3 linked regions of the Saccharomyces cerevisiae S288C genome follow. Changing the gene in region 3 together with the main gene of any one other region gives a genetic interaction. Each region holds a gene or a part of one and is shown on either strand. Other genes may lie near its edges. The genes, in order: RIM9, NPR1 and TKL1.

What was found.
Region 1: mutations in TKL1 (region 3) and RIM9 together harm fitness more than expected from each alone (negative genetic interaction), as found in Saccharomyces cerevisiae (2 studies listed by BioGRID).
Region 2: mutations in TKL1 (region 3) and NPR1 together harm fitness more than expected from each alone (negative genetic interaction), as found in Saccharomyces cerevisiae (2 studies listed by BioGRID).

The regions. Positions count from the first base shown.
Region 1 is NC_001145.3:394,949-398,327, reverse strand, and holds RIM9 (Rim9p), read right to left. Parts: upstream 1,252-3,379; coding exon 532-1,251; downstream 1-531. Other genes in the region: AEP1 (Aep1p), read right to left, coding at 1-425; ARG7 (glutamate N-acetyltransferase), read left to right, coding at 1,949-3,274. UniProt on the Saccharomyces cerevisiae protein: Required for the proteolytic cleavage of the transcriptional repressor RIM101 in response to alkaline ambient pH, which is necessary for sporulation and invasive growth.
Region 2 is NC_001146.8:293,751-297,509, forward strand, and holds the start of NPR1 (serine/threonine protein kinase NPR1), read right to left. Parts: upstream 1,760-3,759; coding exon 1-1,759. Other genes in the region: chromatin-binding/pre-rRNA-processing protein IPI3, read right to left, coding at 2,210-3,759. UniProt on the Saccharomyces cerevisiae protein: Nutrient-regulated protein kinase that promotes the activity of at least 6 distinct transport systems for nitrogenous nutrients under conditions of nitrogen catabolite derepression.
Region 3 is NC_001148.4:693,222-696,980, forward strand, and holds the start of TKL1 (transketolase TKL1), read right to left. Parts: upstream 1,618-3,759; coding exon 1-1,617. Other genes in the region: OPY2 (Opy2p), read right to left, coding at 2,516-3,598. UniProt on the Saccharomyces cerevisiae protein: Catalyzes the transfer of a two-carbon ketol group from a ketose donor to an aldose acceptor, via a covalent intermediate with the cofactor thiamine pyrophosphate.

The sequences.
Region 1 (3,379 bases), on a different chromosome or scaffold from region 3:
ACGTGAAAAGATCTAACGCTTTTGCTCGCAGGTGTAAGTACAATATTTCTTTGATGTTGTCGTCTTGCAACGAATTCCATCAACCATTTATTCACTCCCCTAATATCATCAAACTTTAATTTGCTATCAACTAGTATGGTTTTTAGGCTCACCGGGTGTTTTATCAGTGATGGAGCAATTTTTTTGCCATCAAGCAGGCTAGGATTGTATTCCGTAGCGCATGCCGTGAATTGTTCTATTGCTGTTGGTTGGTAAAATGGGTGAATTATTTCTTCCGGATGAGGAACTTTATCGGCATGTTTAATGATCTTTCGACCGTCCGCTACTAAAGGAGTCTTTTTAAGTACTGGGTACCATTTGCGAGATTGCATCCTAATGAAGCACAGGTTTCTCCATTTGCTGATTTCTTGCACTGTAGTAATCATTTTCTAAGACCCTTAACAGATAGTGATGGAGGAAGAAAAAAATGTACAAATATTTGGAAGCCGATTGGCAAACCGATGTAACGTGCAAAATGACACATGATGTTACTTATTCAATGAACCCTCTATATGTCACTTCTGGAGCAATCAGACTATCTGTATGTGTTGGAGCCACTTCATATTCTGAGCTATTGCCGTTCTGTTTACTCTGGTAAATGTCGGAAATTGAGTACTGTTCCATTGAGCACGCATGCGCAATTGACTGTTGCGATTCATATTTTTTGACTGACACAACTCTTCTCATGACCCACAGCATGGAACAACAAAGTGCTACGCTAATAGTAGCGGCTAGCATTAGCCAGCCGGGCCAGTCCAGTTTGGAGATGAACAGAAGAATATCTACCAAAAAACATAAAAGACATAGCATGAACGTTGGCAGCGAAAAAAGGGCCGTGAACAATAACATCTCAGGTGAGTCCCCTAGTGGAGTTACCATGATAATCACTGCTAAAATTAATAGCGTTCCTGTGAATGCCAGTGAAATCGGGTGAACCACTAATAAATTGGAGACGACCACTTTTGAGTTCGATGGCAGGGTCAAAACGTGCCCGGAGGAGTCGACATCTGTACTGTCATATCCTATCTTCATTTTCGTGCACATCAATTCTTGGTTTTGACCACGTACACACCAGCCAAACAGGCCATAATAGTGGTTTCTGAATGACGATAACGATAGGTACTTGGTCACGGGGACGGTTATTAGCGGAAGTATTTCGAACATGGTTGTGATTGCTAGCAAAAACACCACAATATGGATCATGCTAACCATTCTCCTCTTTTCCTCAATGAATCTGTCTCAACCGTATAAATCTTTGTTTAGAAGGACGTCTCTACTCATTTCCCGGTTCTCAACGCTCATCACTATCTATCTATATTCATTGTTTCTTAGCTTATACTTGCGCGCGCCGCTGGTGAAAATCAAACTATAGCGAGATTCGACAATAAATTGGCAGTTACTTTTAGTGATAAAGAAAAGTCATGTTTTGTATATAGTCATAGCATGCTGTGTTGTAAATGTGATCTGTCTGAGACGTGTCAGTAGATCATAAATTTACAAACATTAAAATACATTTTTCATCGCTGTATAGCAAAAGTAATCTTATACTTTGTTGGTATGCTGAAGTAAAACACAGGGCTCTTGGCTTCACCCCCACGCTGTATCATAGAATAAAGAGAGTAGTGATGCAATAGGGCCGTGGTTAGACCCAAATTGAAGGTAGCGTTGATAGTAGTACTAAGTGAGAGTGCTTAGCAATCATTATTGACGGTGTTTTCTTGGCGAAGGTCTTTTTCTACTGCGATGGACAGGTAGGATGACTCACTGCGTAATTCGTTGCCAACTTCTTTAGTCGTCGAGTATATAAAAGCCTCATCCTCGGCTCGCCGCACAAAGGTGACGATTTTTGGGCTAGTATCAGCAATACTTCTATTCCCTTTATTTAAAGAAGTCCAAAATTCAACATAGCATGAGAATATCATCAACATTGCTTCAACGCTCGAAGCAGCTTATAGATAAGTATGCATTATACGTGCCCAAGACGGGCTCTTTTCCTAAAGGATTTGAAGTAGGCTACACTGCATCTGGAGTCAAAAAAAACGGGAGCCTGGACCTGGGTGTAATCTTGAATACCAATAAATCTCGTCCTTCAACCGCAGCAGCTGTTTTCACGACCAATAAATTCAAAGCTGCGCCAGTTTTGACATCGAAAAAAGTCCTTGAAACTGCTCGTGGTAAAAACATCAACGCTATTGTAGTCAATTCCGGTTGTGCTAACTCGGTCACAGGTGATCTTGGTATGAAAGATGCCCAAGTAATGATTGATTTGGTTAACGATAAAATTGGTCAAAAAAATTCTACCCTAGTCATGTCTACAGGCGTTATTGGACAACGACTACAGATGGACAAGATCAGCACTGGTATCAATAAAATTTTTGGAGAAGAAAAGTTCGGCAGTGATTTTAACTCTTGGTTGAACGTAGCCAAATCAATCTGTACTACTGATACTTTCCCAAAATTAGTTACATCTAGATTCAAATTACCTAGTGGTACTGAGTATACTTTGACAGGTATGGCAAAGGGCGCGGGTATGATTTGTCCGAATATGGCTACCTTATTAGGTTTCATAGTTACAGATCTTCCTATTGAAAGCAAGGCGTTGCAGAAGATGCTGACTTTCGCTACTACCCGTTCATTTAATTGTATATCGGTGGACGGTGATATGAGCACCAATGACACAATTTGCATGTTGGCCAACGGTGCTATTGACACCAAAGAAATTAACGAAGACTCTAAAGATTTTGAACAAGTAAAATTGCAGGTCACAGAATTTGCTCAGCGCTTGGCCCAGTTAGTCGTTCGCGATGGTGAAGGTTCGACAAAGTTTGTTACTGTTAACGTTAAAAATGCTTTGCATTTTGAAGACGCCAAAATAATTGCTGAATCAATCTCAAACTCTATGTTGGTCAAAACCGCACTATATGGGCAAGATGCCAATTGGGGAAGAATATTGTGCGCGATCGGGTATGCAAAGCTGAATGACTTAAAATCTCTAGATGTCAACAAAATTAATGTTAGCTTTATTGCTACCGACAATTCAGAACCTCGTGAGCTGAAGCTTGTCGCTAATGGTGTGCCACAATTGGAGATCGATGAAACAAGGGCTTCTGAAATATTGGCTTTGAATGATTTGGAAGTGTCTGTCGACTTGGGAACCGGTGATCAGGCAGCACAATTTTGGACTTGTGATTTATCACATGAATATGTAACAATTAACGGTGATTACCGTTCATAAATTCATGTATATTTTGTTCAATCTTTCTTTTATAAGCATGGTTATATAAACGCACAGAAACAGAGTGTTTCCTGTACCTTCTGAATGAGTTTGGCTATTGCCATA
Region 2 (3,759 bases), on a different chromosome or scaffold from region 3:
AAAATACCACAGCAGCACCAAAATCGATTAATTTTACAATACCTTTTTCGTTTATAACACAATTATCTAGCTTTAGATCTCTATGAGCTAAGCCGATACTATGCAAATATTGTACACCAGTAAGTATTTGTTTGAAGCAACAACAAATCTCTTCATAGGACATTTTATTACTCATTACAATAGCAAATAAATCGTATTCACAATATTCCATAACTTGGAGAATTCTATCATTTTCATACACGATTTCAATTGTTTCAATGATATTGGGATGATTCAAAGTTGTACCAATACAGTATTCTGATGTAATTTTCTTGACATAATCTCTTTTGGATTCATTTTCAAATTTAGTTCTAAACTCCTTCACTGCAAATATTTTGTTATCTGAAATTCTTTGAGCTAATTTGACAGAACCTCCTGCTCCAGCGCCTAAATCGGCACCGGTTTTGATGTACCTTTTTGAGAACGGAATTCCTGAACCGCCGTGACTATGAGAATAAATAGTATCTCCATTTCCGTTATAACTAGTGGAATATGAGTTATTCCCTGCGGCAAAATGAGACGATGAATGAGAGTGTGACGGAACGGCAATTCCGCTAGAAAGAGGTGATCCGTTCGGGATCACGTTGTTACTATTCGAGGAAAGGTTACTGTTAGAACTTTTTTTGAAGAACCTCTTTAAATCACCGATGGAAGAATGTTGTGACCTTGGAACACTTTGACTTGGAGGTAAGTGGTCATGTACAGATGAGGGGGAACCGTAAAAGTTATCAGTATAGGAACCAGTTGGCTGTCTTGATGCAGAATATATGCTGCTTTGTCTTGCGCGGATAGGCTTCGGGATAGGCGTCGAACCATTGGTAACATTGGGATTCTTAATGTTTGGAGAAGGACCATTGGAATTGGCAGAAAAAGACATGCCTGCAGAGTTAGAATTTGAAGATTCTTTTGAGTTTTTGGAAAAGAAAAAATTCCCAAGCTGTGAAGAGAATGAACCTGAACGGGATATAGATCTTGATTGAGTGGCATTTGCATTATTACTATCCATCGATGCTTTTTGGAGTTTTTGTTTGGAGATAACAAAACGTGGTTCCACGCTATCTACTTTTGGGGAGGATATAACATTTGAATCGATTGCAGAAATATTATTGGGCATACCGCCTGCATATGTTTCGAGCCACGAAGAAGACAAAGAGGAGCTGTTGCTATTCGAGCTATTGTTATCTTTGTTAGAATTTGGCACGGAGTAAGGTATACTTGATGATAAAGAAGGAATGGCCCTTCCTGAAGTATGTGACGTGGTAGATAATCTACTTGTGATTCTGTTCTGTGCAGCAAAAGAACCACCATGTGAGGAAAGTCCTGCAGTACCTTGATCGTTTATTAAGGATCCAAATCTATCTCTACTTTGTGCACTTGTGCCGTAGAATGATGCAGTGTGAGCAAAGTTTGCATTAAGGAAGCTGGAGGAAAACTGATTCCTATCGTCGAGAGAGGAACCGGCTGTTGATGATGAATCTTCCTCTGAGTATATTTGAGTAACAGTTGTGACACTGCCAGGAACTGGCACGTTAGCCCTATTACGATCACTACTGCTGCTATTACTCACGCTACCAATATGACTACTACTCTTATTCCTAGAGTGAAGGTCAAGCGATTGTGACTCGGGCGTCGTGGTCAACGTATCAGCAGAAGTTCTCGGTGATGAGTTCGAAGTTTCATTTTTTCGTTTTTCCTGTAGCAATCGAGTTAATGAAGACATAATGTTTCGTAGAGCTTTCCTTTTTTGTTTGAATGGGTATGAGCTGTTGGAAAATCAGAAATAGGAAAGAGTTAGACAAAAGTATTAATGAGTTCTGGTACAAGCCAACTAGTTTGTATGGGGTTGAAAATGACGCAAAGGAACGAGAACTCCTGTTTATTATTCTTTCAATAACAAAAGCAAGATTTTTAGTCACTGCCGATTGTTGCCACTAGGTACGCCACTGACTAATCCGTACTAACTCTATACAACTAAAGGCGGCCCATATTCTGAGATAAGCTATAAGGGTAGGAATTGTGGGATGCGTCATTGATAACGAAAAAATTCCGTAATAGATGATCAGTCAGATTGAGAATGAGATGTTTCGCACAAGTGATGAATTATATCTATCTATGCTGTATATTTTAATAACATTCCTATTTTATTGTACAAAATGCGCGACTATTCCGTTTATTGCTTGTCAAGCATCTGTTGGTGTTCCTCGTACAGCTTTTCGTGCATGTCACGTAACTCCTTGTAGGCATGAGTTAATGCTTCTATGTTGGTCTTAAGTTCTGTAATTTCCTCATCTTTAGCGGCATTGCTGTCTAAAGATGAAGTGGCGTCGATTTTATTGTCAATCACTTTTACATTGCTTGACACCTTACCGATATGTGAAAATATCGATTCTTGCGTTTTGACCTGCTCCAAATAGGCATTAAAGTCGTTAAGTGGTAATGCGAGGTTAGGATCTGTCTCTGCTTCTGGTTCTCCTATCTGATACCAAATATCGTGTAAATGGCCTTTGTTTTTACCATCAAAGATAACTCTTTGTAAGTTTGGTATCTTCATAAAATTGTGACCATTATTATTACTAGGTTGTTTGCCTTTGGATTCTCCTTCAAAAAGTAAATTTCCACGTTCGAGTCTGTAAGGGTTGGTTAAGAGATTGGTCACTTCTCCAACTGAATCCTGTGATGTAGTTAAAGTTTGGATAGTTCTAATGATTTGTTTTGAGTAAATTTCCGCAATAGAAACTTTCCCCTCCGTATCACCGATCAATAATAATGTACCATCCATTGATATTTCTAGGCATGACACATTTGAATTTAGGACATTCTCACAGACAAGTTGGCCCATTGCATATAGTGCATCCAAATCTTCATTTTCGCCGCCAGTTAGTGAGTTACGTTGCACTAGGGAAAAAACCCTACCTTTTTGAACTGTGTTTACTCCGGCGGACTGTAGCAGATTAACGATAGCATTACCCTTTAGTTTATAAAATAAATTCAATGAAAAACAACCTTCCGCAGTACCAATATAGCATGCTCTGTCAGCAGGATCCAGTACAATGGATTTGATAGAATAAGGAGTTGTAAATGTCGCAAGCAATACTGGGGTCTTACCAATACTAACGTCATTTTCGTTTGCCTTCTGCTTCTTTTTGCTGCCTATTAAACTCAAATCATAGCATCTAATGGTAGCATCTTGAGATACTGTGAAGAGTTTCGTATCAGTACATGATAAAAATTTTCCTTGACTAGAAGAAACTTGGAAATCTGTCACGGGTAGAGTATGATCGTGAAGGATACATAAAGGCTTAGGATCATCATTGGACGCTGATACCAAGTCAACAGTTTGCCATATAATAACTCTCGAATCGTTACCAGAAGTAATAATATACTTGCCGTTTAAAATGGACTTAATCTTGGTGATACTTTGGTAATGAGCCATAGGCTTCACGTTCAATAAAATCCCTGAATTTAACTCCCATATGTACAATTTACCCGATTCGGTGGAGCCAAGTAAAAGGTACGGAAGATTGAAGTCTGGTAAATTATGATTGACACCTTGAATTCTATCATACTGCACACCATCATTTTCAACTACTTCCAGACATTTTAGGATTTCAGGTAATGGTAAGCGCTGTTCAACAGATTCTCTTTTGAAAGAACCTGACAGATTGTAGACATTGATTAATGCTTTTTGTGCTTGAGCAATAAAAAGGTATTTATTTCCTA
Region 3 (3,759 bases):
AATAGAGCTACCTTCCAATTGTGGCAAGTTTTGTCTGGACAAAGCAATGATACTTGGAGTATGCTTGGATTCTAAAGAGTTCTTGTAGGCGGCAGAAACTTCGTTACCATCAGCTGGTCTCCAAACTTGAATGTTTGGTAGGGATCTGAAGTGTGCTAAAGTTTCAATAGGTTGATGTGTTGGACCATCTTCACCGACACCGATAGAGTCATGTGTAGCAACCCAAATAACTGGGTGGCCAGACAAAGCGGACAATCTAACGGCACCAGCAGCATAAGAAACGAAGTTCAAGAAAGTACCACCGTATGGTTTGTAGTTGGCACCGAAAGCTGAAATACCGTTCATTATGGCACCCATAGCGTGTTCTCTAATACCGTACCTAATGTATCTACCAGAGTAGTTACCTGAACCGGAAGAAGGAGGTTGGAAGTCAAGGGCTTCCTTCCATCTGGTCAAGTTAGAAGGTGTTAAATCGGCAGAACCACCAATCAACTCTGGCAATTGATTGTAAACATCCTCAAGAACAGTTTCTGATAATTTTCTAGTGGCCACGGCAGAGTCCTTGGCGGTGTAAGTTGGCAACTTAGATTCCCAATTTGCGGGTAGTTGGCCGCTCAATCTTCTAGCCAATTCAGCACCTAATTCTGGGAATTTCTTTTGGTATTCGCTGAACAACTTGTTCCACTTGTTGTTGGCTTCGACACCTGGCTTTAAAATTGTCTTTTGGTAGTGGTCGTAAACTTCTTGTGGAACAACAAAGGACTTGTCTGGGTTGAAACCGAATTTGCTCTTTAGTTGTTTAACATCATCTGCTTTCAATGGGGCACCGTGCACAGAGTGAGAGCCGGCATGCAAGGAACCGTAACCAATGGTTGTGGTCATTTTGATCAAAGTTGGTTTGTCCTTGGATAACTTAGCTTGAGCAATAGCCTTGGCAATACCGGCTAGATCTTCGTTACCATTTTCTACGTACAAAACTTCCCAACCGTAGGCTTCGTATCTCTTAGCAACATCTTCATCGAATGAGATACTGGTAGCACCATCGATAGTGATCTTGTTGTCATCGTAGATGGCAATCAAGTTACCCAATTTCAAATGACCAGCCAAGGAGGAAGCTTCTGAAGAAATACCTTCTTGCAAACAACCGTCACCCAAGAAAACATAGGTGTAGTTGTCAGACAAGGTAAAGCCCGGCTTGTTGTAAGTGGCAGCCAGGTTAGCTTGAGCCATGGCCATACCAACAGCGTTGGAGATACCTTGACCTAATGGACCGGTAGTAACTTCAACACCTGGCAACTCAAATTCAGGATGACCTGGTGTTCTGGAACCCAACTGTCTGAACTGTTTCAAGTCTTCAATAGACAGATCGTAACCAGTCAAATGTAGCATAGAATACAACAAAGCGACCGCGTGACCGTTAGACAAGACAAATCTATCTCTGTTGATCCAGTCTGGGTTGGTTGGGTTCATGCGCATTTGACTCCATAGAACGTGTGCAGCTGGTGCCATACCCAATGGAGCACCTGGGTGACCTGAGTTGGCCTTGGATACGGTGTCCACAGCCAAAATTCTTATGGTGGAGACGGCTAGCTTATCAATGTCAGTGAATTGAGTCATTTTGTTTGCTAAAGAGGTAACTATGTAGAGTTGCTTGGGATGAGCTTCCTTCTCTGTTGTACTTCAGTTTGATCTGAAACTTAAAAAACGAAATTTAAAAGGAAGACAACGGTGAGAACAAGAAATGAATGAATCAAGAAGTCACGATCAAGTATGTAGGTAAAAGATCAGGGGGGAGTATGTACGTAACCAAAAAGATTGGGAAAGAGTTTATATATGAATCATGCCTACGATCGTACCTTCTTGGCTTTCCCAAGAAAATTTTTCATCTCTCGAACTTCTCGAGAGATTGCGAACGGAACGGCAAACGCCGCCGGCATTTCTCGGAAAGAAGACTAGAAAATAAATGACGGTGGGAAAAAAAGCAAGAAGCTACGGTTACCCGCAGCGGCACTATAGTAGATGGGCTTTTAAGCCCGTTTTCAGGGTCAGGTAATATGTAATGTAGTAGCACTTAAACTTGCTAACCATAAATGACCAAAATGCAAGTTTGCTGTATTTTAGTCCCGTTGGCGTTTTCGGATGCTTCATTCCCCAGAGAAGTGATGTGTATGCGAAAAATGTCTCAATGCAGCTTTGGCTGCTGCGGAACTTATCCGCTTTGTAAGCACATCTTGTTTTAATGTGTATGAATTTTTATATTTGGTTCGAAAATTATGACATTCGGCCAAGAAACTTTCAGAGGAGCTGTGTATTAGCAGATGGTAAGCGCACGTTGAAAATGCTGAATATTATTAATTTAGACATACCTTGATGGCTGAACAGTAGTCAGAAAATTAAAAAAAAAAAAAAAGCGCTTATTACGGCGTATACACGTAACTATATAGACGTAGATCATTGAATATTGATATGATATAATATTTTCCCCGGGATTGCAGAATACTGACACGCCTTTTATTTATCGTTCATCGTGTATTTCGAACTTGTCCTCAAACGGGCTCTCAGTGCGACTGCCCTGGGTGCTCTCGCGTATCGATTCTGGAATTTCCAAGTCCAGTATAAAACTTCCTTCTTCATCGTCATCTTCGTCGTTATTACCATGGCTTGCCTCGCTTTTTGCCATGTGTGAAAGATCATCCGCCTCTGTCTGTTCTTCAATGACATCCAAGTCCTGAATCTCCTTATCACTCTCTTCCTCTGCGATTTGAACCAGTTTAGGTTTAGCACGAATAGCAGTTATGAGGTTATCGTCTGCGTCCTTATTGAGTACCTGGTTATGCTCGTCATCTTCGTCATCCAGACCATCCAAGATGGAAGAACCTAAGGTTATATGTGACCTGATATCACCAGCTGCATTTTGTCTCTTAGAGCTCGAGCGTAGTTTTGATTGCAGTTTGTCGGTACTCAAACCGCTTGTCACACCAGGAATGTAGGCAATAGGCAAAATATTAGAAGCCCTTGTACGAGTGGTAGATGCTGAACTTCTGTTTCCCGGCACGTTGAGAGTTGGAGGTACCAGTGACGTATTGAACAGGGTGTGACTTTCATCTTTTCTCATACCGCCATCATCCTCATCGTCTTCATCATCATCGTCTTCATCGTCGAAGTATTCCTCTTCATTCCCGTAACTTTGCGATGCCTCTTCCAATTTCAAAGCTTTATTTTTTTGCCTTTTGGGCTTCCAATATCTCTTGTTGATGAAATACAACGCCACCAAGGCAATAAGCATCGCACCACCTACAATACCCACGGTGAACCCCACAATCAACGAGGTTTTCTCATTTGAATTACTGGAACTAGAACTAGAGGAGGAGGAAGATAAACTACTCAGTTGTGAATCGGACTGTTTCGCACAGTATGTGGATGGGCACTTGTCACATGTTAATGAAGTCATAACACAATATTCTCCTGAAGCGCAAACAGGGCATGATGCAGTTGAATCGCAAACAACACATCCGTCGCTGCCTCTAGTTGCAGAAGTTGAAGAGGTGGCTGTGCTTGACAAGGATGAACTTGCAGAAGCCTTGGAGGAGCTCGACATTTTTTGTTTGATTTTCAGAAAACGAACGTAACCAGTTTGATAAATGTGGTGCCTCTCTTATTCGGCCTGGGAAGCAGTGCAACAATAGCGCACATTATAATCATTTGATTTTAAATTCACCCCAGGACAATGGGGCATTATTTTCTGTTGAGAGGGTAACG